2 linked regions of the Oreochromis niloticus genome follow. The protein of the gene in region 2 purifies or fractionates together with the protein of the main gene of each other region. This does not show direct contact. Links are inferred from orthologs where the notes say so. Each region holds a gene or a part of one and is shown on either strand. Other genes may lie near its edges.

Evidence for each region.
Region 1: the proteins of cul9 (region 2) and apex2 purify together in Homo sapiens (affinity purification with mass spectrometry; 3 studies listed by BioGRID and IntAct, counting the BioPlex papers as one, with this or other methods). This does not show direct contact. The link is inferred for Oreochromis niloticus from reciprocal best matches to the Homo sapiens genes CUL9 and APEX2.

The regions. Positions count from the first base shown.
Region 1 is NC_031984.2:10,932,666-10,948,565, forward strand, and holds apex2 (DNA-(apurinic or apyrimidinic site) endonuclease 2), read right to left. Parts: upstream 7,489-15,900; 5' UTR 7,413-7,488; coding exon 7,298-7,412; intron 7,183-7,297; coding exon 7,099-7,182; intron 6,880-7,098; coding exon 6,699-6,879; intron 6,495-6,698; coding exon 6,351-6,494; intron 5,883-6,350; coding exon 5,813-5,882; intron 4,539-5,812; coding exon 3,441-4,538; 3' UTR 3,312-3,440; downstream 1-3,311. Other genes in the region: zgc:162200 (protein bicaudal D homolog 2), read left to right, coding at 9,996-10,247, 14,259-14,471, 14,691-14,843. UniProt on the Homo sapiens protein: Functions as a weak apurinic/apyrimidinic (AP) endodeoxyribonuclease in the DNA base excision repair (BER) pathway of DNA lesions induced by oxidative and alkylating agents.
Region 2 is NC_031978.2:2,308,418-2,324,893, reverse strand, and holds the start of cul9 (cullin-9), read right to left. Parts: upstream 8,659-16,476; 5' UTR 8,599-8,658; coding exon 8,457-8,598; intron 7,350-8,456; exon of another isoform or gene 7,219-7,349; intron 6,690-7,218; exon of another isoform or gene 6,618-6,689; coding exon of another isoform or gene 6,617-6,617; intron 6,539-6,616; coding exon 5,843-6,538; intron 3,712-5,842; coding exon 3,557-3,711; intron 3,459-3,556; coding exon 2,853-3,458; intron 2,389-2,852; coding exon 2,247-2,388; intron 2,176-2,246; coding exon 1,985-2,175; intron 1,583-1,984; coding exon 1,396-1,582; intron 1,312-1,395; coding exon 1,099-1,311; intron 1,023-1,098; coding exon 830-1,022; intron 626-829; coding exon 424-625; intron 348-423; coding exon 157-347; intron 83-156; coding exon 1-82. Other genes in the region: uncharacterized protein syndig1, read left to right, coding at 13,696-13,954, 14,184-14,872. UniProt on the Homo sapiens protein: Core component of a Cul9-RING ubiquitin-protein ligase complex composed of CUL9 and RBX1. The CUL9-RBX1 complex mediates ubiquitination and subsequent degradation of BIRC5 and is required to maintain microtubule dynamics and genome integrity.

The sequences.
Region 1 (15,900 bases), on a different chromosome or scaffold from region 2:
TAACAAGGCAATAAATCACATGTGGATTTCACAGAAAGTCAGTACTTCAAACCTTCCACTAATCCCACATACTTATTATTCAGAAGAGCTTCTGGTCTTTAAACAAAAGATCAGCCGTGTCATTGCAGAGAATAGAAGGAGAAAAGTGGGTGTCATCTGAGATGGGTTTTATTATAGCTTTAACAGATATTCACTAACAGTTTTCCTCCCCTCTGGAAGTCATGCAGATTGTAATTAGCTTAGGAGATAAGTGCTTATTTAAGACTGATCACATGTGGCGGTGCTTAAGAGTGGATTTGTTGTGTGTGCGCTTGATTGAAAACAAACCCTGAGACCTGAATCCAAGCATTACACCGGAAAAGAGCACGTCATGAAACATGACACATTCGCAGATTTTTAAAAGGTTCTCACGCACCTAAAGCACCTCAGAAAGGCGAAGATTTTCACTTTCATCAATAACAGAAGACATCCCTATCAGCAAATTTACTGGATTACCACCAAATGGAAGCTTCGTAGGAAAACTAACCTAAACTAAAATGTAAAGAAAAAATGTGTTTCTGTAATGTGTTAATCCACCTGTATGCACAAGCTCTAAGAACTAAATTATATTTTTAATGCTAAAATACCATTATTGCTGTTATTAGTGAATTTTCAAATTTCACTGTTTTACAAAACAGCTGAAAAGTAGTACACCACTTTTTTTTCTTAGTAAAAGTGCCAAACTGCAGTTATTTATTCACAATACTGAACAGATAAAAGTCTGTGATTTAATATTGCTTGCTTGGTTGAATGCTTGATTAATTTCAGACTTTTCAGAGAAGTTAAATGTGCCAGGTTAAATTTGGGTATAAAAATGTGAATTCAGTTTGTTACATGCTTGATAAATAGCACTAACTTTTTAGTTTTATGGAGTTTTTTGAGAGATTTCTAAAAAATGTTTTTATGACAGGCAGTCTAATACATTTGTTAAGCACTCTATGTCACCTAAATGAAGTAAAGTAAACATACTTTGAATGTGGTCTAGGTGTTACCAGAACTAAATTGTCATCTCCTTCTCAGAACTGTTTCAGTTGGGGTGATAAGATTCAACGTAACTGACATATAAGCTTTAGCTGCACACAAAGAAACACCCACATTCCTTTATCTCACCAAGACACACACATGTTGGAACATATCTATTAAACAAGTTCATATCTTGCTATGATGCACACAGCTATGTTTTAACATCTCTGAAAGACTTGTTTTTTGCATGTTAAGAAAGCTGGATAAAAAAGATGAGGTCACTACTTTTTAGAGTAAAGAGGTGGTTAGAAGATCAGAACAGTAAAAGAAAGTAATGAATCTGTGTACAAATACAGTGAATGTTATCTTTGTAGCGAATGGAGCAACTATTCTAGGCAACTATCATATTTGATGTAGAAAATGCTCCGTGAGGTGACAATCTGTGCTGATAAAATCATGCCCTGAGCATTTAACTTTATGTTTCCTGAAACAAAAAGTCAAGCAAGCATCTGCAGCCGAGATGATCTCTCATTTCATCTAGTCATTTAAATTTCTTCTGTGCTGCGACAACGACCAACATGTGCGCAGATGACAATAGAGATACAACCTCATCTGAAGGGTTAAAGCAGAAATGTGCAAATGTTCTTTGTTTTCTTGTTTCTGTAATGAATACTAGTCCTCAGTAGCTATAATAGCAACTTGCTAGACATCTTTTGCCGTCTTAGAATGGGAAGTCGTGCTGCTCACGTGTAGCACATGTCTCCGGTCTTTGTACTCACCTAATTACAGTCAGAAAGAAGATGAATGTATTCTGTCCAGAAAAAAGTAACAGGATGAAAGTTCAAACTTGCTTGGTTCAAGTCCAAAAGCAGCTTTTCACAGAGTCATGAGCTCCTCTTTGGCTCTAAGAGCAGAGGAAAAAAAATGGGGGAAGAAGGGAGATAGCAAATGCGCGCGTAAAGAAATTTCCTCCTCTCAGAAGGCACTCCCACACTGATCAGGGTACGTGCTGTTACTTTATGTAGTATTTGGACATTGGCGAGATTGATACTTTCTCTTCTACTTCTTCTTCTTTTTTTTTAACCTATGGAACAGTTTGCCATATTGAAGTAATATTTCTACTGTGCACCCTAAAACTGGGAGTAAAAATACATCAGACACCAATTTAAATACTCCACTTCCTGGCCTGCATAACAGTTGTTGTAATACGGTCATGCAGCTGGTAGTGTGAATAACATGTGCTTCAGTGGAAAGTTACATTTCATTTCAAGCAATGCATCTTCTCACTGCTGTTGCCATCTAGTGGGTATAAACATATTTTTTATGTTAGGAGAGTCAGAGTTGGGGGAAGGTAAAGAGATTTGGATAACATGCAAACTTCACACAGAAAGACCCCAGCCTGGATTTGAACCCAGGACCTTCTTGCTGTGAGGTAACAGTGCTAACCACCAACCTAAATGCACAAAAAATAACATAAAGAAAAAAGAATCTGTTCAATAAATTCAAATGCAAGGCCAACAGCTGGTCTATATATTTTTATCAAAATAACTAACATCTTAAAACATCACATATATATTATGTGACAGAAACTAAAATGTTGTTTATACACAGGCCTGTCTGAAGCTGTCGGACTACAACTTTCGTCTTTCATTAATTAATAGAAAAAAGGTAAAAGTTCCTTTTGCCCAAAGGTAATTTGCTCTAATAGTTTGGTGCAACCAACTGTAAAAAAAACATAACAAAAAGCATTAATAGAATTATTTTTGCAATCATATATAAGGAAGGAAAATTAATAAGCCTGAAATTGATGAAGCTGAAGCTTAAAAATATTTAACATTTTTGTTTGAAAAACAACAAACCCCATGAGGAGCCATAAGCCAGAGTCAGCACACCCATTGTGCCAGTCCCAAGCCTGGATACGTGGGAAGGGTTGCGTCAGGAAGGGCATCCAGTGGAAGATTTTTGCCATACCCAAGATGTGGCTCATCAATAGGACTTCCATAACATTACCATACCAGTGCTGTTGACAAGCTGGGTGCCAATGGCCAAAGATAGAAGAGGAACAGTGGGGGAAGGAGTGTTCAGAGGTAGCAAGAGAGACAGAGGACTGTGGTGTTAGGTGTTAGCATGCTAGGAATAGGGTGAGATTCAGGCAAATGATCCAGTTCGGTGACTCCTGAAAGAACCAGCCCAAAAGGAGGAAAACATTTGTTTACCCCAAATGTTTCGCTGACCAAGTGAACATGAATGAGCAAATCTAATCTGCTCACTTATTTCAGCATTTACAAAAAATAGAACCAAATTCGAAGTAATATAAAACTACTGTGTTTTATTATTTTGATAGGAAAAAGAAAAATACAACTACTACAACATACAACTATGAAGCAATGTTAAAACAATTGTTTATGCTGAAATTGATGGACCTTAATGTAAACATGTCACTTTACTTTGTCAACCCATGCAAAGAAATTGCATCGAGCCTCAGGGTTGGAAGCATGTCCCTGAGGACGTGCACACACAAAAAACTGTTTGCCCATGTTTGGCCCCTCCTTTTTTACAGTACGAAGAACACATGGTTCTCCGTGAACCTTACAGCACGGCGGGGCAGGTGGTCCATGAAGCACTGACTTCCAAAACACTGACGATGTCCCTTTCTTTGCATCTGACTGCCTTACAGTGGGCTGAGGGGGTGAATGTTTTGTGTTCAAATGTTGGTCAGTTTTGGCTGTGGAGCACTGCTGTGATAAATTGTCAGAGATAAGCTCAGGACCTTCAGATTTGGTGTCTGTGACAGAGAACACTTCTTCAGTTATGGGTGGTTTGGCAGCTTCATCCAGATTTAGTGGGTTTTCACACTGGTTAATGTTTGTGGTTTTGGATTTAAAAAAGGCAAGGAGGTTGCCCTGAGGCTTTGAAGAAGCATTTACTGTCTTAGTTTTTTTTCCCTTTGGGGCAACAGAGTCAGATGTCAATGAACGTTTTTTACCAGAGATGTTTGCAGCTCCAGAAGGATTTAAATTCTCTCTCCTTTCCTCCTCTTCTTGAGAACCAGGTAAAGCATTCTTCTGCTCAGACTGGGCTGACTTTTGGTCCACCTTAACAAGGAACCGTGAGAGTTTCTGCTGTTTACCTGCAAACTCTGGCAGGTAGCGAGTACAGAAGGGAGGAGGCTTTGGGCTAGAAATGAGTGAACAGCTCAGCTGCCCCCAGACAGGGCAGTGGTCTGAACCCTCCACCTCTGGCATGATGTCAGCTCCCACAAACTGCTCCTTGGCAAGCTGGCAGTCAGCAAATATGTAGTCAATGCGTGTTCCATAGTTGGTCTGCCGAGCTCCAGTGAGAGTAGACCAGCATGTGAAGGCGTTGATGCGAGTTGGGTGGAAAAAGCGAAAGGTATCCACAAATTTCCCACCGTGGAGTGGATCTGTTTCCTCGGATTCTTTGTCATGTTCCTCCTCATCGCTCTCTTCTTCCTGTTTGCCACGGTGCAAAAAGCCATTCAGCCATTTCCTCCCAGGGTTTTCACCAAAATCATCCTAAATAATGAAAGTTTCATTATTATGGATAATAATATAGCAACACATCTGCCATTTTATGTAATAATATTTTAATCCTCTACATTAAGTTCACTTGGTGATAATTGCTTTCTTGCTGAGACAGATCCCACTACTGTGTCTGTTCATTAAATAGGAAACTGTAGGTAGAAGTCATTTTTCATGTAGCATGTAAGGTTTGGGGGAGGGGTTTATATGTCTGGACTAAGCTATACAAGTTGGCTTTCCCCACTTCCTGTTTTTGTGTAATTTAATACAGTAATGAAAATGTAAACCCCATGATACAATAGCAACAGAACCAACTTTGGCAGCAATAACTTCATGTATGGCTTTATTAGTCTCTCACATTGTTGTAGAGGAGTTTTGGTCCAATCATTTTTACAGTATTGCTTTAATTTATTGATGTTTGTGAGCATTCATTCATGCAGAGGTGTGTTCAGGTCACACCACAGCAATCCAATTAGGTTAAGGTGTGGACTTTGGGCCACTGAAATGGCTCGATTTTCTTTCTTTTTCAGCCATTCTGTTATATATTTATTGCTATGCTCGGGATCACAGCCCCAATTTTTGCCAGGCTTTAGCTGTCAGATGTGTGACCTTGCATTTGACTCTGGCATACAGTGGTATATAGAGAGGAGTTCATGGCGACTCAATGACAGGTGCACAGGTTCTGGCTGCTAAAAAGCCCAAAACATCACCCCTCCACCACCACACTGATGACAGCTGGTGTGAGGTGTTTGTGCTGATACGCTGTGTTTGGTTTTCTCCACATGTGGTGCTGAAGGACACTGTTTCAGAAGCCTTATGGTTTGTTCAGAACTACAACATAAACCCATGTTGTGCTGTTACGTTTGTGTTTTAGAGAGAATAGGATTCTATAGGAAGCCTGTTGAGTGTCTGGTGTAGCTCATGGGTTTTTGCAAATTCTTTGAGCTTTGCAAGCTCTGACACGAGGGTGAATTTACTGGAATGGCCATTCCTGGGAAAGCTGAGACATTGTGTAAACACCTGAAGGCCCCAGGCGAACAAATTTCCACAACATGTGCTTTGATAGAGTTGGACGAACGTTCTGATTAATCATTAATCAAGATGCTGGCTGCTATTTACCGTCTCAAATCCTATGGAAGCAGTAAGGCTGTTATTCGCAGTTTTTCACAGGATTCTAGATATTTAAAAAGCCTACTTCTCAAAATGTTGATTGATGTGAATCAAAAAGCATATATATATAAAAATATATATATTAGTATTTTACTTACAATTTCACTAGGGTCACAGTGGTCTATTGGTCTATGAGATGTATTTATGTCTCCTAAAACAATCACATGGCTGGAAAATACAACAGAAAAAAGATTAACTCATTATCTCGATACATTTGTAGAATTTAAAGAACAATTTTAAATAAAATCTGGAATATGTAATAAATAAAATATTTCTCATCATCATCATTGCTGTCCAACAATTGTGATTTTATCAGAATATATATAAATGTTATTAAACTAAAGGTGTATAACCATAAACGCAGAAGCAGCTGTTTTCGAATATACTGCTTTGTCTGTACTAACTTACAATTCAATAAAATTATAAACACCAGATAGTGTTTGGCTTTATTTTACAAACAGCAAAACATAGGGCCCACTGCCAAAACTCAAAGACATAATAATGATTTACTGGAAGAGCTGCGTTGTTCAAAATTAGCACAGTGCCTTAAAAAAACATCTGTGGCGAAACCAGGATACACCTGCTACTCTTGTAACGACAATGTTTTGCTCAGCCAGTGAAACATGAATTTCTCACCTTCCATCTTTCAGTACAGCTTCAGCTCGACTCTGAAGTAAGTTGTAGAACTGTAGTTTGAACCGCTTTCGCTCCGGCTTTTCTGGGTCAGCCCTCGGACAGTATACGTTAATAACAGTAAGGATTTTCTCTTTATCCTGACATCTGTTGGGATAAAATAAAACTCAGTCAAACAAAAAGGCAAGCACACAGTGGGATTTCCCCACTAACTGAGAAGAACTGACAATTTTGAGGAGAGAAACATAAAAATTGCTGATTATTTGTTTTTAAAGTGCCATGTGTAAACAGATAAATATGCAGTGCATCACACTTAAAACAGGAGCCTTAACATATAACATTTCCTCTCACTTTATTTTGTGTTGTGTGATTACAGCACGGCCTTCATTGTCCAACAGCTGCAACTCCTCACTTGAAAACTCAGTGTGGTCACCATAGCATCCAACAGCATCTTTGTGGTTGACCAGCAGACCTGTGAGGCCCTCCTCAGCAGCAAATGGAGTGGCACTTTCCTTACAGTAGGTGGCAACACCTGTGCACATCGGCAATGTGAGGTGAATTGCTTGTAATGCAGTTTTACGAGGAAATGTTTAACTTTTCATTAAAATATAAATGTGGCATTTTATTTTAGAAGACTGCACTTTCTTGAATGTGGACACTTAATATAACTGGATGATAATGCACGAAAAAAAACCCAAACACTTTCAAGGCTCACGGACGCAAAAGGAACTGTTATAACTTTGTATTGAACCTGAGTAGCCACTGCGCCCTCGGCTGTAGCTGAAATAGGAGTTGTATCCGTCGACAATAGCAATCCTTTCATCTAGCAAGTCTCCTGTGGAGGAGAAATTAGGGGTTAACGTTTTTATTTTCATACAGTCATTTTAACTGTGTCGCCTTGCGTGATGACAGCTCCCGCGTTTTTAAACCAGCTATTGCTAATCACTTACGCGTCACTTTTGTCTCCTGAATACAGATAACATCTGCGTCCAGGGAATCAAGAGCCTTTTTAATGCCGCCTCTGAAAGCCCTGATGCCGTTTATGTTCCAAGTAACGACCTTCATTGTGTAGCACTGCAACTAACTAAACAGCCACAATAATGTGCACATCCGGAAGAAAAGCGGAAGGCAAGAACGGTACGACCGGAAGTGTATTCACTTACTAATTTTTCTTTTCTTTATTTCTTTATTTATTTATATAAATTTTTTTCAGGGTTTAACGTTTAACTAACACGCCCTGTTAGAAACAACTGGCCCGAACTATCCATATAATGAAAATAAGGTTCTAAGTGAGGTTGTATTGCCTCGTTGCTAAGCTAGAGGGGGTCCTCGTGCCTTGGCGATTTCGGCGCGCGTTTGACACTCGACCTCGGGAGGAGAAACGGGAGGAGGAACTGGTGGGAGGAAGGGAAACTGCTGCTGCCGCCGCTGTTGGTACCCCTGGCTGTTGTTTCGTGATTAGCTACCGTTGCTTTTAAGAAAGACAGCTCCATTAGGAGGTGCAAGGCTAACGTTTGCGAGCAGCCACCAAGTGCCATCTTTGGGATAAAGCCATAGGGTGAGTATGTAGGTAGGCTAATGATGGCTGTCCGGCTAATTAGCTTGCCTGATAGGATCCGGCTCCTGTTACGACAGTGTTCCAACCCCGTTAGTTAGTTAATCGGTTAGACTGTTGGCGTCCGTTCGGTTGGGGTATGTAGGTAGGTGAAATTGCAAAGCTAAGAAGCTATCTAGCTAGCTAAAGTCAGTTTCACTATCTGCATCAGCTGGTGCTGCTAGCTGTTTTTGGTTGTTTCATATTTCCACTTCACTCCACTGTGGTCTTTGACTGCCGTCAATATGTGTTTTATCTGATTAATATCCTCTTACTTTGAAACGTAGCGAATATTCTCAGTTGCAAGCTCTTAGTCTATGTTCACGGAGAACTGGTTCGTGGCGTAGAGGAAGCAGATGCTTGTTTCATGACTAACTCGCAGCTACATCCTTTGGCAAGGGACGACCAGCGGGCCGGTGTTTCCATCTTCGGTCAGACAAGAGGACACGAGGAAATCGGGGGAATCTGCCCCACCCAGGCTGGTCGAAGTAAACACATGTTGTTTCCGCGCCTTGGTCGTGTAGCAGCTGTTTCAAGTGTTTAGCAGTTATTTGCGTAGTGTGAAAGATGAAGACTGGTCGATGCTACTCGCATAGCACCAGCATCCCCTTGCATTTAAGTTTAAGCCTGTTTTTGTTAATTATGGGATGTGAGGAGACCTCAGTAATCATTTGTTTGTTTTAGGCCTATATCATTTCTTATACGGTGAAAACGGTTTCTTAATTTATGTTTTTGTATATTTGTCAGACCTATATGTTTCAGATCACACACATTTTAGTATTAGACCTCAAAAAACTGAGTAAATGCAAAGTGAAGTTTTTAAATGATCATTTAGCTTTTTAAGGCGCAACAGCTATGAAAAGCTATCCAACCCTATCTGTCCCTGTGTGAAAAAGTAATTGCCTCCTAAACCTAATAACTGGCTGTGCCACACTTGGCAGCAAGAACTGCAATCAGGCATTTGCAGTGACTGGCAATGAGTCTTTCACATCACTGTGGAGGGATTTTTGGCCACTCTTCTTTGCAGAAATTGTTTAATTCAGCCACAATGAGTAATTTTCAAGCATGAGTGGCCTGTTTAAGGTTATGCCAAAACATCTCAATCAGATTTAAGACTGGACTTAAGGCCACTCAAAAACCTTCATTTTATTTTCTTAATCCATACTGGACCATGACCTAATAGTCAGATAGTCTCCTTCAGAATTTTGTGGTAGAAAGCAGAATTCATGGTTCGATCAAATTCAAGATGAGCCTTTGTATCCTTTTTGATGGTTTTTCATCTTGGAACCCTCCCATAGATACCAGTTTGCCCAGCCTCTTTCTTATTGTTGAATGCTGTTCTTCAGATGTTGTTCTTAGAATAGAATAGAATAGAATAATCCTTTAATTGTCCCACAAGGGGAAATTTGGTTGTAACAGCAGCCAAAAAGATGCACTCTTGGAGTAATTTTGGTAGGATGACCACTCCTGGGGGAAGGTTCACCAGATCTCTTTTCCTAATTCACTTTGTCAGACATGTTCTGTTCTGATTATTTTATGCAGCAAGTCAAGGCTGATTAATCAGTTAATTCATGATTTACCAAAAGAGGCTGTTACCATTACGACTGGGCCAGGAGCTTTTCCCTTAATAAATGAAATCGGCATTAACAAACTGCATTTTATTTTATTTGGGTTATCTTTCTCAATATTAGAAATTGATGATATGAAAAACTTTAAGTGTGACAATTGTGCAAAAATATAAAATTCAGAAAGCACTCTAGCTGACAATGCAGCCCTTTCAGCACTTGATCTTAATTTAATCTCTTGGATTTTTCTCCTGGTCTTTAAAGCTTTAGTAAAACGTTTATCCCATTAAACTAATCCCAAAGTTAAACCTTACAGTTTACTCCATTAGTGTCACACTACAATTTATGCAAAAACCTCTATCTCCAAGTATTTTACGTAACCACTTTCTTTGTCTTTTACCTTAGTGGTGTGGCGTAATGAAAGCAGAGGAGTGAAGGAGGCAGTTGTCTCAATAAAACATTGGCAGAGAAGCAGGAGACCAAGTAAGGATGCTGGAGGCGGGTGCAGACCCAGCAGGTGCAGTGGCCGAGGGGGAAGAGGAAGCGGAGATGGGGAGCAGGGATTTGAAGGCTGAGGTGATGCGGTTGACTCTCGAGCTTCAAGAGGCCACAGAGGAAAAGCTACAGGCAGCCCGCTACGGTCTGGTGGTGCTGGAGGAAAGTGCTGCCCTCAAGATGAAACACACACAGCTAGAAGAAGAGCATGAATCTCTCAAATTGGAGTTACAACAGCTCAAAGAGGTAGGAGCACCTAAGGCATATGTTATTTTTTTTAGATTGTTTATTTATATATTTGTGCTGGCTGTAGCTCAGGATGTAGAGCAGGTCACATACTAATTGGACGGTTGGTGGGTCAATCCTATCTTCTCCAGTCTGCATGCCAAATATCCTTGGGCAAGATACTAACCCCAACTCGCTCTCTGATGCATTCATCAGAGTATGAATCTGTGTGAATGTTAGATAGAAAGCACTTACATAGGAAAAGCATAGAAAAAAGTGCTTGTGTGATTGGGAAAAGTGCTATATAAAAACCAGTCCATTTATATATTTACCTGGTAGGCTTGTGAGATCATCATTCCCCTGGTTTCCAGGTACAGTTTTCCTATATCACACACTTGCTGTGTGATCTTTGTTTATATAATAACATGTGCGCAATGAAATGCATTTCCTGTTGTCAGCTTTTACAGTAATGGTCTAATAAACAGAACTCTTGTATTTTTTGCAGGGTATGAAAATCATGATACAATAGACACCATACAAAAATTGTATTTTATAATTATCAGGTTTAATGTGTTTACATTATTGGTAGGCATCATTTAAATGCCATCAACACCATAATTGCTGCTATTATATATAAGCACAATCTCTCTAATTTTTTTTCATTTTATCTTTCATAGTTGAGGAGCTGCCTTGCGGTCTAGCAGTCTTATAAAGATACCATTGTTGAGGTTTTTTTACACGTGCCAGTGGACTATGTCATGAATTTGCCTGTTCATCCCGTCATTGTCTTTTTGTAGCTCTCACTTTCTGATAAAACAGTAACAGCTCTGTTACAGCTGTGACCTAATATTATACTTTGAATGTCTTGTCTTGTGATCACATGTTGAGTCAGGTTTGCCTCACATGTCATTTGACGTTGGCAGGAGAAGAGTGTTAACTGACTATGACGTTTTCGCATCCAGTTAGTCAGCATGTTGCTATTAACATATGTTAATTTGGATGTCTATACAGTGGCTTGCAAAAGTATTCGGCCCCCTTGAACTTTCCCACATTTTGTCACATTACAGCCACAAACATGAATCAATTTTATTGGAATTCCACATGAAAGACCAATACAAAGTGGTGTACACTTGAGAAGTGGAACAAAAATCATACATGATTCCAAACATTTTTTACAAATAAATAACTGAAAAGTGGGGAGTGCGTAATTATTCAGCCCCCTGAGTCAATACTTTGTAGAACCACCTTTTGCTGCAATTACAGCTGCCAGTCTTTTAGGGTTTGTCTCTACCAGCTTTGCACATGTAGAGACTGAAATCCTTGCCCATTCTTCTTTGCAAAACAGCTCCAGCTCAGTCAGATTAGATGGACAGCGTTTGTGAACAGCAGCTTTCAGATCTTGCCACAGATTCTCGATTGGATTTAGATCTGGACTTTGACTGGGCCATTCTAACACATGGATATATTTTGTTTTAAACCATTCCATTGTTGCCCTGGCTTTATGTTTAGGGTCGTTGTCCTGCTGGAAGGTGAACCTCCGCCCCAGTCTCAAGTCTTTTGCAGACTCCAAGAGGTTTTCTTCCAAGATTGCCCTGTATTTGGCTCCATCCATCTTCCCATCAACTCTGACCAGCTTCCCTGTCCCTGCTGAAGAGAAGCACCCCCAGAGCATGATGCTGCCACAATCATATTTGACAGTGGGGATGGTGTGTTCAGAGTGATGTGCAGTGTTAGTTTTCCGCCACACATGGCGTTTTGCATTTTGGCCAAAAAGTTCCATTTTGGTCTCATCTGACCAGAGCACCTTCTTCCACATGTTTGCTGTGTCCCCCACATGGCTTGTGGCAAACTGCAAACAGAACTTCTGTTAACAATGGCTTTCTTCTTGCCACTCTTCCATAAAGGCCAACTTTGTGCAGTGCACGACTAATAGTTGTCCTATGGACAGATTTCCCCACCTGAGCTGTAAATCTCTGCAGCTCGTCCAGAGTCACCATGGGCCTCTTGGCTGCATTTCTGATCAGCGCTCTCCTTGTTCGGCCTGTGAGTTTAGGTGGACGGCCTTGTCTTGGTAGGTTTACAGTTGTGCCATACTCCTTCCATTTCTGAATGATCGCTTGAACAGTGCTCCGTGGGATGTTCAAGGTTTGGGAAATCTTTTTGTAGCCTAAGCCTGCTTTAAATTTCTCAATAACTTTATCCCTGACCTGTCTGGTGTGTTCTTTGGACTTCATGGTGTTGTTGCTCCCAATATTCTCTTAGACAACCTCTGAGGCCGTCACAGAGCAGCTGTATTTGTACTGACATTAGATTACACACAGGTGCACTCTATTTAGTCATTAGCACTCATCAGGCAATGTCTATGGGCAACTGACTGCACTCAGACCAAAGGGGGCTGAATAATTACGCACACCCCACTTTTCAGTTATTTATTTGTAAAAAATGTTTGGAATCATGTATGATTTTCGTTCCACTTCTCAAGTGTACACCATTTTGTATTGGTCTTTCACGTGGAATTCCAATAAAATTGATTCATGTTTGTGGCCGTAATGTGACAAAATGTGGAAAAGTTCAAGGGGGCCGAATACTTTTGCAAGCCACTGTATTAAGCTGATTTTGATTCGTTATGTTAAAGCATTAAGGATTTAATAAGGTCAGAGCAGGATATTCACGATAAAAAGATCAGGGCAATACAGCAAAGCTCAGATTGTGTATAAACCATGCCTTTCATAGATGCATTGAAATAGGGTTTTCATATTCTAAACAATGCACTTTCCTCATTTTTTTTTTTTTAAGTAAATAACCATTGTGCAGTAATACTGACTTGACCATATTTACTAGATCGTTTGAATCTCAATTTTAAAGGTATAAGAACTATATTAGACCCCACTTTCATATTGCCACTGAATTTCATGCTAAAATAACTGATTAATGCAGTGTTGTCTCCATGCAAAACACTGAAGTATAATTAGCATATTAAGAATGTTTTAACAAGTTTGTTTATTAGCTTTTCATTTACTTAAGCAGTGGTGTTTTTGTTGAGCAAATAACATGAAAATGAATATATTCCTGTATTATACATATATAGATGGGTCATGCTTACTGCTAAATTCAGGTATAAAGGGTTAATATTGTTTCCTAATGTAAATTTTGTCACAAATACTTATAGACCCACAAAGGTATTTGGTATTACTGGAACAGGCTTTTAAATACTGATTTATGTAAGAAACTAATCCTATAAAACTAAGTCCGGTCATGTGGGCAGATTTCTGATTTTGCAGTTATTCTATCTGCCTGTTCAAATTAAAAGGGGAAAAATAAAAAAATAAAAATCCTTCTTACAGATAGTTACTGATATTAATCAGTTCATCTGTAAAAATAACAGTAAAAGTGGTCAGCAGGGATGCTTTATAATGCCATATAAATTCAAGTGCTATACTGGTTCTGATTTCAGCTATCTTTATAATCAGTGTAAACCTCCTTTCTTTTTGGCTATTTACCCATTTAGGTTTTGGCCGGGTTGAACTCCTGTGCTGGTCATTGTGTAACCATAGTATTAGTGTTCATTTAGGCATGTTTAGTAGCTTGTTTGTTTCATTAAACCCCTTATGTGATCTTTCTTTCATTAGCACTTATTGGCGCATAGTGTGCGTCAAGGTTTGTGATTGTGGCACGCTGTGAAGAAATGCATATTATTACTAGATAACTGTAATGTATTAGGGTCATAGTATAATATTGGCAAAACAAATAGATCTGCAAAAATGTTGTGGAGGTTGCTGTGAAGGTCTAAGGTTACAGAACCATATCAGCTATTTCCTCATTGCAGTCAGGTCTCAGGTGATTTATGTCCACTGAAAACTGACAGGGAAGTGCAATTTCCCCTCCTTTGTTTAAATTGTTTACATTTCTTATCTTTATAACGATATGGGTCAGTTCTGCAAGTGATTTTTTTTTTTTTCCCCCAATGTGTAACACAATAGTGTGTCAAATAGTGTTTTGTATCTTTCCTTATCAGTTTTTGTTTGTGTAAAGGCATTTGCAGATTCTGTGAGCAGCCAGAAACGTGCAGCTGCTGATGGAGAGTGCCGGGAGGAGAGCCTGCTACAAGAGACTGCCAGTAAAGAGGCTGCCATGGCAACGCGCATAGAGGAAGTTCAGACAGAGCTGAAGCAAGCACGCCTTGCTCTGGGCAATGCCCACGCAGAGATTGATAGACTTGGGGTGCTCTCCACCCAGCTGAAGAAGGTATGGTGTACTCATTCAGTACACCTGTATACCGTTGTTACTGTGTATATTACCAGGCTCCCTCTTCTCGTGATAAATACAAATAAAAATTAAATCCCTATAGAGAAAATATTAGTTCTCTAGCCTCATTCAATAATTAACTATATATGATATGTAATTGACAGTTAAGCATGTTAAGCGGTCATTTGCACTGATTTTATCGTGGATTGTCTCCCACAGGAGTGTGAATGTCTTGAGGCAGAGAAGGGCCACCTGAGGGATGAAATAAAGGAATATAAAGTACGTGAGCTGCGCCAGTTGCAAGACAATGGGGAGCTAGAGGAAGAGAACATATCTCTGCAAAAGCAGGTGTCTGTGCTCAAGGAAAACCAGGTCAGTTGTCACCTTCCTTCACACAATCATTTTTGTATAACATTATATTTACTGGTTTTATTACTGAAAGAACATGAAATAAATCAATAAAAAAAAATCTCCACTCTACATCCTCTGAGTCCCATCTGCTGCATAAATTTGAAACATTTTTTTTTAAATTGGCAAGGGGCAGGAAGGGGCTGAGGAGGAGACATGGATGTGTGAAACAGTAGGTGTTTGGGATTTCCAGGGCCAAAGAGCACAGTGACACAGAAAAGCAGTTCACCTTTGCCACAGAATTGAGTTACCTGAAGTAGACTTGTGCGGTGGGGTAACTAGGAGGGTTTTAGCTAAACCTGATAATGCCCAAAGCCAGAGCTCGCTTGCTCTGCCTATCTCTCTCCTCTATCAATAACCCTAATCTCCAACTGTATGGAGAAATGAAGAGAAATAATTCAGAAAGGTTTTTATTTAACACCTTACTGGATTCAGAATTCTACAATGTATGCTTCCTTCATACATGGGGAAGAAGGTAAAAAATACAGTATACCACACAACATGTTTGTTGTCAAAACCTCAAAGGATAGTAACAAAAAAGCTGCTGGTGAACAGACTGGACAGTCTGGTTGCTGGGTGAATAGTATTGTTCTTTTCACCAAATGAAGCAGCTCCCACAGCAGAGGACATGATATTCATCTCATGACTACCTGTGTTTTCATTAGACAGTATATTCCCATTAAACCTGCTTTCACTGAAAACCGAATACCAAAGCCAGTTTAACATTTTGTAATGCAGTGTGATTGAAAGTGTATAATTATAGCTGTGTGTTGCACCATGGCAACCATGTTTCAGTGTAACTATTTCATGTTTCTCAAGATATTTCGGGATGTTGTGCTTTTTATTTATTTTTTCACATTCTAGATGACATTGTGTGCTCTGAGAATTAAGATATTTTCATAATTTTATGTGAGAATATTTTGTAAGTATCAGCACAGCTTTGGAAAAATGCTCCACAGAAGCTGCACTTCTTATATGTAAACTTTTCATGTTGGTTGTTGTATTAAGTAGTTATTCCAAG
Region 2 (16,476 bases):
GACCAGCTGCTCCGCGAGGCTCTTGTGGTTGGAGATGAGCATGATGATGACGAGCAGCCCGTTCCTCACCGACGGCACGCAGCTGCACAGAGGAGGGCGTATCAGCACGGCGAGCACACGGCGTTAACCGTACTCGCCGCCCCAAAGGTCACTCACCCTTTTGTGTTCAGCATGAGGTCGATGGCGGCTGGAATGGCGTCCAGCAGGCCTCTGGAGCCCTCGGGCGTGGCCGAGCCGATGCTGGCGAAGATCTCCAGCATCATCTGGGTGCCGGACTCGGAGAGCGGCGGGCTGCTGCCTACGCTGCGCAGGTCGTGTTTGCTGGCGCCTGTGATGACCTTCAGAGTCTGAGAGGTGGAGGAGCCAGTCAGGAATCATTTCACGGCAAAGCGGCAGATGAGCAATGAACAGAAGTTTTCTCACCGCCAGCGCCAGCTGCTGCACGTGCACCACGCCCGAGAACTCCTGCATGCAGGACAGGATGGCCTTGACCCCGCCCTCGGTGGCGAAGGAGACCCTCCACTCGTACTTGAGCATAAGGAGGTGGGTCAATCGGAGCGTGCTGACGACCACGTCTTTGGAGGCGGAGCCGAGCAGCTCCACCAGAAGCTTCAGCACTTTGTCCCTATGAGAGAAACATGCCGTCACCTTCTACTTCCTGCCAAACACCATCACAACCAGCGCCCGCCAGTGCAGCAGATCAAGGTTTTATGGTAACGCCACAAAGAAATAAGGCAATTTGACCACGTTTGTGACGAGACTCCACTCACATACCGAGGGTGAAGGTTAACATCGGGATGACACAGGAAACCGCTTGGCGGCGTCTCACCGTACGGTCTGGGCTGAGTCGCTCCTCGTGGCGTTCTTCTCCTGCGCCCCCTCCACCAGCCGGGTGAGGAAGAGGACAGCGGCGAGCTGTTGGGCGTGGTCTGAGCCCGAACCACCCTTCTTTAGGACGTCCACAACCTCCCCCAGCTTCTCCAGCACCGTCTTCTTGCCCTGCACCCGCGGGTTGTTAAACACTGCAGGAAGAGAGCACAGGTGAGTAACAGCTCGCTCTGATACCTGAAACGAGTCTGGAACAGGCCCCGCCCCCACCTTTCATCTTGTCCTCCAGGTCGTCGGGGTATTTGCTGACGTCCTCTGTGGGCAGCTCGCTCTCCGTCTCCGAGCTGCAGCAGCCCGAATCCACTGGAAGCTCTTTCTTGGCCTTCTTGGAGACGGAGCCCATCGCTGAAGACGAGGAGGTCGAGGCAGACGAGAAGCCCTGCCCTCCTCCGCTACCTCCACCCAGCCCGGACGAGCTTTCAGCTGTAGAGACGCACAAACGAGCACAGTGAGACAAGGGTGTGTCGAGGACACGCCTTACGGGAGGCGTGTTGTTTGTTTTCTCACCCAGCAGCTCTTCGTCCTCCAGGCTGGCTCCGCCTCTCTTCAGGTAATGTTTGGTGAAGGCGTGGGAACACAGCAGGTCGCCAAGGCACGATGACGGCAGTTTCTGCTTCAGGTAGTGCAGCAGCTTCTTGGCCACGTCTCCGGGCACTGACAGGCCAATGAGAGACGAGTCGTCCAGCTCCGCCTCCTAAGGACAGATGTGGTGACAGTCAGGCTGTTCAAACCACAAACCCGGATCATATTTCACCGCTCAACGTAGACAAGCCAGGCGGCCGCCGTCCCGCGCTCAGACTCAGGTTTATTTGTACCATGTGACTGGGAGGTGCACTGACCAGGGCCATGAACCCCTCGCTCACCGTCGCTGCGATAAACTCTGCAGACTTTGATTTTTATTTTCAGAGGATATTTCAGCTTCTCGTGATCTAATTGGTCCAACAAGCTGCACACGTGCAGCGACTCTTATCAAAGGACATAAGGTGATGTAGCGGCACGCTTACGCCACAGGCGGCTGACGGTCAGATCCTCTCACCGCAATGATCCGCCTCCCCGCGCTCTGACTTTAAACCCAAGAGACGAAGGCGTCTCCTACCTGGTCATCGAGGCTCTGCAGCAGGACGCCGTTGACCTCCTGCTGCTGCTTCGGCTCCAGTTTCTTGATAAAGAAGAGGATCTCCCACCACTCGGCTCTGCTCAGAGTGACCGGCTCCGTGTTCAGACCCTCGGACAGGTAGGGCAGAGAGTAGAGACCGCCCGGAGGCTTCAAGAAGAAGGTCTGGCTCACTGAGAGAAGAAGAGACGTGCTCAGACTGCGGAGGAAAGCAAAGGAGCAGCAGACAGCGCTCGGCTCTTACCTGATGAGAGTTTGAGCGTCTCGGTCAGAGAGGAGGCCTTCTCCTGCGTCTCCTTCTCGGCCTGACTGCTGCTGCCGCTGCCCAGAATCTCCACCATGTGCCAGTGGACCCAGTAAGTCCTGGACAGGGAGTTCCAGTACACCTGAACACAGCAGAGAGCGGGTCAGAGGCAGGCTCTGAGTCACGCTGATCTGAGTGCAGTTTCTAACTCATTAAGTTAAGGACTCAAAAATAAGAGCACCAAATGTGGACGCACCTCCGTGTACTCTGAGGGCTTTTATTCTGAAAGTATTCACAGCATGAAGGTAACATGTCACTGTAAATAAAAATCAGCTGACTGTGTGTGTTGGGGGGAGGGGCTAACACTGCTCACAGCTTCGTCCATGTTTCTCCTCCACCAGCTGGCGTTCAGTAGCTACACTCTGATGGTGTTCACTGAGCGCTGGTTACCTGTGCTCGCTACCCTCTGCTGGCGATTTCCTGTAGTGTGCTACAACTTGTGTTTCCATTTAATGTTTGTGCGCTCTACTCTGACAGCCAAATCTTTCTCTACACCTGCATGAAGCCCCACCCCCTACTTCAGCCCACCTATACGGGTTTCCTCACCTGTACGGGTGGCGAGCCGTCGTTGCTATAGCGAAACTCTCCTTCGTCGCCAGCGCTCACCTCCTCATAGTCCTCCAGCATGCGGACCATCATGCCGCTCTTCAGGTTGTCCTGGACGTACTCCACGTAGGCGGAGCGGCAGGTGAAGTCCGAGCGTGTCTTGAAACCATTTGCTTTCTTCTTTGGTGGTGTGGCGGCGGGGGCCGCGCCACCGGAGCTGGTGGTTAGAGCAACAGGGGAGGCGCAGAATCGAGGCTGAAAAATGGACCTGAGGACAGGGCGGGAAGCCTCCTCCCCCTGAGCCTCCACGCCAGCCACACCTCCCGTGAGGTGGGCGGAGCCATCAAGCGGTTGGCGGTTACGGTCCCAGCCCATCACTCGGACCAGCTCCGAGATCAGGTTGGCCATGGCCATGGTGAAGTCAAACTCCCGCTGGATGCGGAGCTGCTCCGTCTGGTGAGCGGAGCTGCTGGAGGAAGAGGCGGGAGAAGGGCAGGTGTCCAGCTTTTCAGAGCCTGACTCCGCCCCCGCTGTGTTGAGCTTGTCCATCAGAGACGTGACGCACAGGTAACGCTTCACCAGGGAGAAGAGCAGCTTCCCGGGAATCTGAACACACACAGTCAAACAGGTTTACTGCAGCGGCGCCCCCTGCTGGGCGGGGCGACACAGGCACACCTCTGACAACATAAAGAAACGAGTCTTACCTGCGGCAGGTGAATGCCCTCGAAGGAGATGCCGTGCTCCTCGGACGACGTGGTCTCGGCGAACAGCTCCAGCAGCGTGTAGCGGTTATCGAAGTCCATGTGCTGCTCAATGCCGTCCTGCTGGCTCAGAGACAGCAGCACGTATGCCCGGCTGCCTGCGTGCGACACAGCAGGACACGCCCTCAGCACCTGACACCACTCAATAACAGATCAATAGTCGTTCCAGGAGGCGCTAGCCCATAAGCACACATTTATACTTTAAACCATTTACACCAGGGGTGTCGAACTCCAGGACTCGAGGGCCGGTGTCCTGCAGGTTTTAGATCTCACCCTGGGTCAACACACCTGAATCACATGATTAGTTCATTCCCAGGCCTCTGGAGAACTACAAGACATGTTGTGGAGGTCATTTAGCCATTTAAATCAGCTTGGATCAAGGACACATCTAAAACCTGCAGGACACCGGCCCTCGAGGCCTGGAGTTCGACACCTGTCCTTTACACTATCAGCAGGGGGCGGAGCCAGGAGGGTGGAGGCAGTGTTTAACAAGGACTTAAAACATCTGATCAAATTATTGATTAACTGATTTTTTTCAGACCATGTCAGAGTAAACGCGGCATCACGCTCGACCCGCATTAGCGCTCAAAGCTCTCAGCTCTGAGGTGAAGACGAACGAATGAGGCGGAGCTTTACGAGACGTCAAGCAGCTGAACACGGACAGAATAAACCTGAAAGAATCAAAGTTTTAGACACATTCAGATGTGGACCTCTGTTGAAAGCCACCAGAGTCCATTCATAAAAACGCTCATTTTAGCCCGAGTGTGGAGCTGCTGCTGATTGGCTGCCTGCACCGACGAGTGCGTTTCTGGACCGAGCTGTAACGAGCGTGACAGGATGCACACTTTAACAAGGCGGATGTAGACAGAGATAAAACAGTTTCTCCATCAAAAAGCTCCAGTGCCTGTTCGGCTTCACGCTGCTGTGATTACCATCAGTAACTGGAACATTACTGAGAAAGAGCATGATCACAACTTATTGATTATTAATCATCAGCACCGTTCTATCAGAGTACTGATCATGTGACAGGCGTTGATGTCACCGACTGTTTCAGAGGGAGCAGTCTATGCCGGGACTCCCTCCTCCACCTCCATCAGTACGGGAGTTCAGAGATTCTCAGAGCGTGAAAACGTGAAACTTTCTTCTTCTGCTCCGATTCCAGCTATGACGTGGAGGAGCAGTGTTGCTTCTCCAAGCAGGAATCAAACTCCTCCATGGCTTTGTGGCATGTAAACATGGCTGCTGTCCCTGCACGCCTGAGGCCCGTTTAAAGGTTTGAGTCATCACCCCTCGACGCTCAGGCGGCTTCTCCAAAGTCCAGATCTAAATCTTAAGGCAACCACGATCTCAGCGTCCTAACGTCAGCTTCACGCTTCTGCCTTTGATCATTCTGCTAACCTCGGCCTGCACGCCTCAAACGGCCGACCGCGGTGACACAGCACTCTGAACTTCCTGTACGCGAGGGCTCGCCCTGTTTTTTCTCGAGTCAGCTGAACATTTCTGTTGCCACGGTGACATGATGTCAGGCTATCTGAGGGTTCACGAGCTAAAAACTTTAGTCCACCCGTCATGACCGCCTCTGACTGGACATTCTCCCCGTCGGAAAACGCTTCCTCCCCCGATTCACGATCGTTCTCACACGCTGGCCAATCGCCAACACCTGAACGCTGATGCAGCACTGGAGCACACCGCCGACCGCGCCGAGCTCATGTCGTGTATCAAAGACCAAACCCACTGAAAAACACCCCTCTAATCCTATTGGCCAGCTGGTCAAAGTAGTAGTTTTATATTTTACGCCACATTTTAGAGCGAGTTGGGAGGAGGAGGCGGTGTTGCCTCGGTCTATCAGCTGATGGTACTCAGCACAAACAGGTGTGACGCATAGCGCGCAGATGTCATTACTCTGATCGGTCCTCACGCTTCACTTCCCATTTCATTCATCACTGAAACTCCAGAACGCCGCCGCCACCCACCCAACCCTTAAAACACAACTGACCGGCACACAGGCAGAAGATCCAGTCTGACCTTTTTTAATATTCTGATGATTTTATCTCCCACAGCAGCTCCAGCTGTTAATTCTGTTCAACTACCGCTGAGAATGTAAAAGAATAATGGCGCCTAATCCACCTGAGGACTCTAAAACAAGCCTGCAGTATCATCACAGCCCACCGGGGGGGGGAACTAAGCCCTGTATCCGATCACAGCGTGGTTTAAAGATGCGCTGCTTACCTGCGTCGTGTGAGGCGAGCGCACGCAGCATCTTCCCGGCGCTTCGCCTCGTCTGCGTCTCCTTGTTGCACAGCAGCTCCATCAGCAGGTTGAGCGCGCCTGTCTCCTTAAAGACGCCGACGAGCGAGCCGATGCTGGCGTAGGCGCTCAACACGTGGATGGTGTGCATGATGTTGATGGAGAAGTCGCTCTTCTTGGCCATCTGCTTTCGGGCTCGGCACACCAGGTTCTTCACGTCTTCCTTCATGTCCGACAGCTCCACCTCGTCAAAGGTGACGTCGGACGGGAACTCTGTGCCGCTTGAAATGCCCGAGTCGGAAGCCTCGCCGCCACGCTGCTTCTCCTGCTGCAGGGGGCGCTGGGAGTCCGTCTTCCTCTTGCCCAGCAGTGTGGGACAGTTGGCGTACACATCCTCTGTCGACATCCACATCAGGATGTTTTCCGGTTTGGATTCTCCAGACACAGTGCTCACGGACCCGCCCACCCCGGAGCTGACGCCAACCGTCCCGCCCACTTCGCTGGCACCACCTCCAGAGCTGGAGCCATCGTCAATGGCGATGAGGCACCAGCGAATCAGGTATTCCGTCTGGCCATCGTGGGTGCGCCGCTGTCGAATCAGCTCCTCGGGATACGCCTGCAGCTTCGGGCCGAGCTGGACCAGCAGGTTCCCATTGCGGCGTTCGCCAACCATGGTCACTGATGGGAGGAGCCAGAAAAGGAGAAGTGGTCATTCAAAGAGAAGAAGTGCGCTTATTTATGTTTCAGTAAACTTACTTTACCAAAAATGGGACTGGACTTTGAGGAAAGTGGCAACCGATGATCTCCAAACCAAACTCCAGTCAGAAATCTGCAGATTTTAGAATCGTTATTCTTTCGGTTCCTCTCTTTAAAACAATTACTCTGACTGAACATGTGTGTGAAGGAGGAGAACTTCTGAAGTGAAAGTGAAAGAGTAAAACATGCAGACCCAAAGAGAAATACTTCAAATTTTAACTGTACTTTTGTGGCGGGAATAAAGTCATGTAACAGTTTTATTGTATTCGAAAATGATCAAACATTTAACTGGAGTTTGGTGTTAGAGTTAAAGCAGTGTACAACCAGCAGGTCTTCTGTGACTTCTCATATAAACAAACTCTAAAATTAACCAGAATCTGACTGATGTTTCATCAGGAGGCCACGAGAACATGACATCACCTGAAGTATAACTCCGTTTTTGTTGAGAAAGAGAAAAAAAAACAGAAAAGCTGATCAACCCAAAGAAAATCGTGAAAATAACTAAAATGACCAGAAACTGAATGGAGCTCTGGCATAACGACAAGTAACACAGACATGTGACTGTAGTGTGATGTCAGCGGTCAAATCTGCACATTTCTTACTGGATTCTGAAGAATATGCAGAAATCAAACTAACTGGACTTTGGTGATGGGGTGAACTCTGCAGATGTGACTGGAGCTGGGTATAGAGAAGATCACTCTAAGATGACCACAACTCCGAGTGGATGCTGGTGTGAAATAAAACAGATGTGACACTAGTTTGATGTCAGGGCAAAATTTGTGGATTTCTGACAGGAGTTTGGTGGAAGCACAAAGTCGGCTGGTTTCCAGCTGCAGCTGTGTTTCGGCCCTGGGACGATCCCGGTGCGTCTCCCCGCTGTCAGCTGAGCGTGCGCTCTAACGGCTACTAGCTTCAGCGGGCTACGTCTAAAACTTGGGTAAGAAGGAGAGTAATTTCTGGAGTCACCTGTGCTCGCCGCTGCCCTGCCTTTAGCGCAGTGTCATTAATGAAGTCAAAGTGACTTTTCATTGCATCAGCTCACTGACAGTCCTGTAGATTCAGGAATTAGTTGGGCCCTTGATTTTTTTTTTTTTTTTATTTTTATCTGAACGCAACAAGCTAACATGGCTGCTAAGGCTAGTTCGCTGCCGCAGTTAGTTTCACCTTTAACCGCAAAAATCTGCGCTTTGTACGCACTTTGTCAAAGCTGCGGCACGCTTTGTTGGTTAACATGCCAGCTAACTACCCATCACACCTAACCAGCCAACTTTTACTCATGGTGAGCCATATGGACGGAGCGCTCAAAACGTCACACCAAAGCCCATGTAAAAAAAAAAAAGAAGCAGCTCCATTTAACTTTAAACAGCTCGCTGATCAGACTAACTCACTCTTTTTTGCTCTATAGAATATTCTAGTAAATTCGGCGCCTCCAACTTCCCGTTTTTAAACACAAGTTATAATGAAGTCTACATCCAGTCTTCCGCTCTCTGCATCATCGTCACCTCAGACAAACTTCAGAGGACGAGCCAACAGTTCCTGACTGAGCCCTGGTGGCGATAGCCTGCCATCTGAACCTCAGTATCAGTGTGCCGAAGCGAAGCGAGCCTCCGACAGGCTCGCCACACGTCTCAGACACGGACGGGACTGCGCGTGTTTCTGCTCTCTGCGGAGCGTTTGTTCTGAATTGGCAGTTTTTTGAATGGAGTTTGGTGCGCCGCTCTCAGGGCGGCTCGGGGTGGGCTGTGGATGTGAACGGAGGGCCTCCGGCAGGAAAGCGGCTCCGCGGGCATCCACGGCCCGGACCGGAGGACCAGCCGAGTGTCAGGTAAGTCCGGCTTACCTGCTGCGTCACAGGCCTCCCCCCCGCTCTGAGTGCCCCCCCTGGAGCGCTGTTTTCGCTTCCTTCCTAAGGTTTCGTTTTTCAGCCTGCCGGTGTGGCTCTGCTCGCTCTCAGCCAGAGTTCTGCACTCCTGGATGCGCATTTGCGCACTGTGACAGGAACAGCGTCACTAACGGCCTCTTCTTCGACGCACGCGCCGACACTTTTCTTCTTCGCTGGGTTCAAAACTACGGTTGATTGAGCAGCGCGCCCCCCGCTGAACGGCAGTGGGACATCAGCCCAACGAGTCCAACAGGGAAGGCGAAAACATCAGAGAGGTCTGTACAGGTGTAACTAACAGGTACACAGGTGCAACAAATAGGTACGTGTAACAGACAGGTGTAAGTAAGGGTGTAACCGCAGAGGGTCAGGTACAGGTGATATTTTTGTCTGTCTAACCCTTGCACATTAATATTATTATTGCTGTTTGGAGAGGAAAGCTCCAAAAACAAAAGTGTTCTGTTCTCTGAGTTACAGACAGCAGCTACTCCTCCTGTCCCGGCGTCCTCCTCCGTCACAACCACCCCGGCCTGCCGGATGTATGAGCATCCCATTTCACGCTGATTAAAGATTAAATATCAGTTTTTAATTTCTTGCATTTTCTTCATTTTTCACTATCTGATGCTTTCCCTTCAGCCTTGCTCCAGAGTCTGCAGGGAGGAGCGCCTGGAGGCTCACAGGTGTGTGTGCTGCAGTAAAGCGTCCACAGCTGCAGGGGGCGCTGACGTTTAATCTGTGAACTGCAGCAGGAACTAGGGAATAGAATAGAATAGAATAATCCTTTAATTGTCCCACAAGGGGAAATTTGGTTGTAACAGCAGCCAAAAAGACACATATACAAACAAACAGTACACAGGACACAGAACAGAAACATACACAATTTTTCTTACATATTTACATTAAGGACAATGGTTACTATAAACAGAGTACTGTACAGTTATTAAATTAAATAAAAATAACTACAGATAAGAGGCAAACCAGGTTGTAGTGCAAATCGGTTGATTAACTTATTGCAGTTACAGCACTGATGTAAACATCTGTGATTGTTGGGAGCAGTTCTGATTGTACAGTCTGACAGCTGCAGGGAGGAAGGACCTGCGGAAACGCTCCTTCATGCATTGAGGATGCAGCAGTCTCTCACTGAAGGAGCTCTGCAGTTCAGCAACATTTCCATGCATGGGGTGGGAGACTCTGTCCATCAGAGATGTTATTTTGGCCAGAGTCCTTCTGTCTCCCACCACCTGCACTGGGTCCAGGGTGCATCCCAGAACAGAGCTGGCCTTCCTGATTAGTTTATCCAACCTCTTCCTCTCAGCTGCCGATAAACTGCTGCTCCAACATACAACACTGTAAAAACTGACAGATGCAACCACAGAGTCATAGAAGGTCTTTAAAAGCGCTCCCTGTACTCCAAATGACCTCAGCCGCCTCAGCAGGTAGAGTCTGCTCTGACCCTTCCTGTAAAGAGCATCAGTGTTGTGGCTCCAGTCCAGTTTATTATTCAGGTGAACACCCAGGTACCTATAAGAGTCCACTATCTCAATGTCCACTCCCTGGATGTTCACCGGTGTCAGTGTGGTGGGTCTGCGTCTCCAGAAGTCCACCACCAACTCCTTGGTTTTCCCGGCATTGATCAGCAGGTGGTTCTGCTGACACCAGTCTACAAAGTCCAGAGTCCACTGTCTGTACTCTGAGTCGTCCTCACCTGTGATGAGGCCGACTATGGCAGAGTCGTCAGAGAACTTCTGTAGGTGGCAGCGTGGGGAGTTGATGGAGAAGTCTGCAGTGTAGAGGGTGAAGAGGAACGGTGCCAGCACAGTTCCCTGTGGGGCCCCCGTACTGCAGACCAGTGTGTCAGAGACACAGCCCTGTGACCTCACATACTGTGGGCGTTCTGTGAGGTAGTCCAGTATCCACTGGGACATGTGGTGGTCCACTCCCGATAGCTCCAGCTGGTCTCTCAGAAGTCGTGGCTGGATGGTGTTGAAAGCACTGGAGAAATCAAAGAACGTGATCTTCACAGTGCTTCCAGGCTTCTCCAGGTGAGTCAGAGCTCGGTGCAGGAGGTAGATGATGGCGTCCTCCACCCCAATGCCAGGCTGGTAAGCAAACTACAGCGGATCCAATGAAGACCTCACCAGGGGGCGCAGATGGTTTAGAACCAACCTCTTGAGGGTCTTCATCAGATGTGATGTCAGGGCTACCGGCCTGTAGCTGCTGAGGTCCTTGGGATGGGAGGTCTTTGGTACCGGTACCACACAGGAGGTCTTCCACAGCTGTGGTACTTTCCCCTACTAACCGAAACTAACCGAAGAATGAAAACAGGAAAGGAAGTTTGGACTCAGCTGGAAATCTGGTTCTAAAGAATTTTGAGTCATGAAGATAAAAATGAGTAAATTCAAGACAAAATCTGATTTTTTCATTTTGTTTCCAACATTCAGACCTCAGCGTGAAGGTGTGACGGTGGGCCCTGAGTGTGGTCTGACAGGAGGAGTGCTGCGTCTGTCAGATCTGCCCTGGACCTGTGAGGTGGATGAAGCTGTGCAGGTCTGCAGTGAGCGTGAAGGGGATGCAGCATTTTTCATTTGTGCTGATTTATGTTTCCCTCTGCAGGAGTGACCTGATGTTGTGATGTGTGGATCACTGAAGGCACTTTTACCATTAAGCTGCTTCAGCACTTCCCTTTTGTGCAGCTCATATTCAACATGAGGTTAAATCTTACACAGTAAAACACACAAAAACACTCCTGCATGCTTTTCAAAAAAGGTGGTGTGGGTGGAGCAGGATAACAGGAAATGAGGACTCCATCATTGCGTACAGCGCACCCTACATCCTGTTTAGTTTCGGTTACTATCCATGAATTTATTTTGGAGCTTATTCTTCTGCTTTGACAAGTTCTTCTCACTCAGATGTTTGACGTTTTTTTCCTCAGCCTCCTCCAAAATTCTCTGCTTCATCCTGATCTCCCCTCCGTTACCTCCTCCCTCCTGATGGTAACGTGTGGTCTGTTCCTGGACTCTCTGAAAGCAGCTGTGCATGAGTCCCTGTTCAGAATAATCCTTCTTTACCTGACACCAGCCTCTCTGCATCCTCTGTCTGAAGCGAGATATTTAACTCCTCCCCATTTTCCACACAGCTTACCTCTGACTGGCTACCCCTCACAAACATCAGGTGGGTGGGGCTCCAGCAGGTCCTAAGAGCTCAAATCCAACCTAAGCTCTATAACACCGATGTTAATGAATTAACAACTGCGTGGAAACCTGACTCCGCCCCCAGGGGAAGCGCCGTTATTCTTCTGCTCGGCAGCAGCAGCTGATCAGCTGCATTGATTACCTGATCGGACTCATTGATAACCAGATCAGATGCATTGACGACCTGATCGGATGCACTGATGACCTGATCGGATGCATTGACGACCTGATTGGATGCATTGACGACCTGATCGGATGCACTGATGACCTGATCAGACTCATTGACAACCAGATCGGATGCATTGACGACCTGATCAGATGCACTGACAACCTGATCGGATGCACTGATGACCTGATCGGATGCACTGATGACCTGATCAGACTCATTGACAACCAGATCGGATGCACTGATGACCTGATCAGACTCATTGACGACCTGATCGGATGCACTGATGACCTGATCAGACTCATTGACGACCTGATCGGATGCACTGATGACCTGATCGGATGCATTGACGACCTGATTGGATGTATTGACGACCTGATCGGATGCACTGACAACCTGATCGGATGCACTGACGACCTGATCAGACTCATTGACAACCAGATCGGATGCACTGATGAACTGATCGGATGCATTGACGACCTGATTGGATGCATTGACGACCTGATCGGATGCACTGATCGGATGCACTGACAACCTGATCGGATGCACTGACGACCTGATCGGATGCACTGATGACCTGATCAGACTCATTGACAACCAGATCGGATGCACTGACGACCTGATCGGATGCACTGATGACCTGATCAGACTGATTGACAACCAGATCGGCTGCATTGACGACCTGATCGGATGCACTGACAACCTGATCGGATGCACTGACGACCTGATCGGATGCACTGATGACCTGATCAGACTCATTGACAACCAGATCGGATGCACTGACGACCTGATCGGATGCACTGATGAACTGATCGGATGCACTGATGACCTGATCAGACTCATTGACAACCAGATCGGATGCACTGACGACCTGATCGGATGCATTGATGAACTGATCGGATGCATTGATGACCTGATCGGATGCACTGATGACCTGATCAGACTCATTGACGACCTGATCGGATGCATTGATGAACTGATCGGATGCATTGACGACCTGATCGGATGCGCTGACGACCTGATCGGATGCACTGACGACCTGATCGGATGCATTGATGACCTGATGCCTCCTCTCTCATGGCAGCTCTGCTAGGTCTGCAGAGTCCTAACTGCACAAACCACCAGACGTCTGGAACAAACCACAGCACAGTGGAGATGTTTGCACATCTGACGCACAAAAAGCAAACCGCTCAGACGAGCTGTGAGTTCCTCGTCCACAGTGATGTGACACACTGATAAAATCAAACCATCACTCATACCAGGTTTAATGGGACCTGATGAAGGTTTAGTGAGTGTACTCTGTCTGAAGAGTGTTTATGACAGAAAGTGTGGTTCACTTTAAAATGTCCTGTTTCCATGACGCCTGATGGAATATCTCACCCTGACATTCTCTCTCTTGACTCTTCCCTCGTTTATATTTTGTTTAGTCTCTACAAGATTGTTTCTGCATGAAAAGCAGCAGGTGGAGCTGAGACATCATAAACTTCCTGCATGAACTGATTGCAGAAGGAGATCTGGAACAGATTCGGTTTGTAATATTAGAACATCAGGACGATGTCTCCCAGCTAAAAACAAAAGAAGATCTGATGTCCAAAATTCAACATTAATTGAATTTCTGAATTCTTTGAGAAATTCGTGGATGCAGATCAGGATCAACTCCAAACTAAAACCAGTTCTAAGTCCGAGCAAACATGCGATTGTTCAGCGGGTCTGACTTCACGAGTCCAAACCTGGACGTTTTCAAGGACGATTTATTCAATTCGTCATTCGCTTGATGTGAGGGGCTTTAGGACCCTGTGGAAGAAGTCTCTGCTGACACACACCTCCTCTGTATTCAGCGCACATGCCTCCTCTCTCCTCCTCCTCCTCTCCACCTCCTCTCTGCAGGAGAATCATTCTCGGAGCAGACGGACACCTGCCTGCCCGCCTGCCTCTCTCCTCTTACGGCTGTTTTGGAAATCCGGAGCTTCGCATCGGGACCCCGCCGCTTCTCAGCCCGCTCAGAGCGCACCCAGAGCGGCTGCGGGACAGCCGCGGGGGTCGCTGTCACGCCTGGATGCGCAGATGGGTGGATGAACGGCTCTCGTGTCTCACCTTGGGAGGTGAGTATGTGCGCGTGTTTGTGTGTGTGCGCGTGTGGCTATCACCGTGCTGACGTCAGAGCCGGTGAGTGTCGGTATTCGGGTCTACGATGAGGTTTTTTCTGTAAACATCCGTGCACGTGCGTGTGCGCGGTGTCCATGCACGTGCGCCTGTTGGTGGTGATGGTGGGGGCGCAGCTTTGAAGATGAGCTTTATTATTAATGTGCTGTGGATTATTTGATGTTTCAGCTCAAAGAGTCACAAATACACCAAAAACGTCAGGAACACCTCCAACACCACAGCCAAGGAAGCACCAGCAGGAAACACCACAATATCTGACGACTGTATGGAGGGAGGGCCGAGGCACGAAATCCTTTATTAGAGCTCTAATATACCAGGTGCTTCAGGTGTTTAAGGTTTCACACACGCTGCTGACGTCACATATTCCAAACAGACCATCATCAGGTCCAAATATGAAGCCGCAAACACAGCAGTGCAGACATGTCCCCGTATGTCAGACTGTCCTCCTGCTGATGGTTTCCTGCCAAAACATAAAAGGACCTCAGGTGTTTATCGAGGCATCTCATGGGATGCAGGATGCAGCTCAGCAGGTGAATCCTCTAACACACACACACACACACACACACACACACACCACATTTGCAAACACACATCACACGGGTGCATGTGTCCGTGCTGTGAGGATATTTCTGCCTGTGAGGACAGCAGGACAGGCCCGTCACACACGGACCAACGCCTTTTGTTGCACTTCCTCCTTTGTTCTCCAGTGTGTGCCTCTATCTTATTTTGTATTTATTCCTGCTGTCACAGTTGGTGTGGAGCACCTGTACAATGACATCAAAGGGCTATTCTATTCTATTCTATCTTCTCTTTTTCTATTTTTCAGCAAAGTTCAGTCCACAATGCCTGACCCTTGACCTCTGACCTCTCTGAGAGACCCCTCGAGGAGGAAACGAGTTCTGAGGAGAGATGGAAGGTGGAGGAGACGAGGAGAGCCGAGGAGAAGAGACTGAAACCTCCTCCGGGCTTGGGAGAGTCTCACAGAGAGGAGGAGGAGAATCCTGCAGACAAAATGGCCTGATCAACACGCACAGGCTGGGGGCGGAGCCCCAGGAGGCGCTGCTGTCAGTGTACTCTGCTCCTCAGTATCAGGGTCATGTGGTGATGAGCACCTCCACTCAGCAGGAGCACAGCAGGGGTCCTCCCCAGCTTCTGAACCCCAGCACTCTCCTACCCCACCATGGGGTGCCAGACCCTGGCCTCAGGCCGGCCCCCGGCCTCTTCCTGTGCCCAGAGAGTGTCCTGCGGGCCTGGGGGGAGGCCGGGGGAGGCGACTGCTGTGAGACCACCTTCATCGAGGGACTTGGACCAGAAGCCTCCTCTTCTTCTGCCGCCCCCACCTCCACAAAGGAGGTGCTGCTGTTCACTGATGGGAAGTATCTGGAGTTTTCTGGCGAGGAGGCAAAGATTCACAGGCTGTCCTATGACATCGACGACGATGAAGACTTCCAGGAGCTCGAGGTAAATAAGCTCTTTTCACCTTACGTTCACACACTCACACTCTGATGATGAGTTGGGGAAAACTCTGGCTACAGAACCCCAGACCCAACCACTGACCTTCTGATTGGTGGATGACTCACTCTGGCTCCTGAGCCGAGGTGAGGGCAGAGGTCTGAAGAACGAGTGCCAAGACTCTTTTTCTCGTTCTGACAGAAAAGTGTCATCAGCATATATTCACTGAGGGAAAACAGGCACTGCAGTTCCTCTCATGTCCACTAGATGCTGCTGTCAAACGTCTCTGTGGTAGTCAAAACGGGTTTCCTCATGGGTGCTACCACACCAAGGAAGCATGGCTGAACACCAATGTTTTTGCCATTTAAAGTCGTTGCTATGACAACAACAACCGCATCACAGTGGAAAGATGTTAACAAAGTTTCCACATTGACTTGTGATCCAGTCAGATCTTCTTTAACAGAGGAAGAACCAGACGTGAGAGCCACTGTGAGTCAGCTTGAGGCTTGGTTTGGTGATCAGTGAGCTCAGCATGATGGAGGTCAGGGCATCGAATCGAAATATATATAAAACAGTGTGTGAACACAAACCTGTCTGTGCTGTAGTAGGTGACATTGATGAAGCACATCCAGCAGATTTTGGAAATCAGCTGATATCTGCTATCATCAGAGACATCAAGAAAGTCAAGATTAAAGTATCTGCGGTGTTACTGTTATAGCTGAGCTCTGAAGGAGCTTTTGTGGCTGCTGGTTCATCATCTTGGCTTAGTGATTTCTGGTCATCATCAGTCGCTCACAGATGCTCTAACCCAAAGTTTTTTAAAGCATCGCAGATGTTCTGACTACTTCAGACCTGCTGGGCAACAGCTGGTTGCTCCCCTTTGAGTATAAATGTACATTTCTACCATTGTGACTGTGAGCTGTGGCATCCAAGTGGCAGAAACAGCTTCCTCTTTAGAGATCGGGTGAGGAACCCGCACTTTGAGGGATCTCAGAATCAAGGAGGTGTT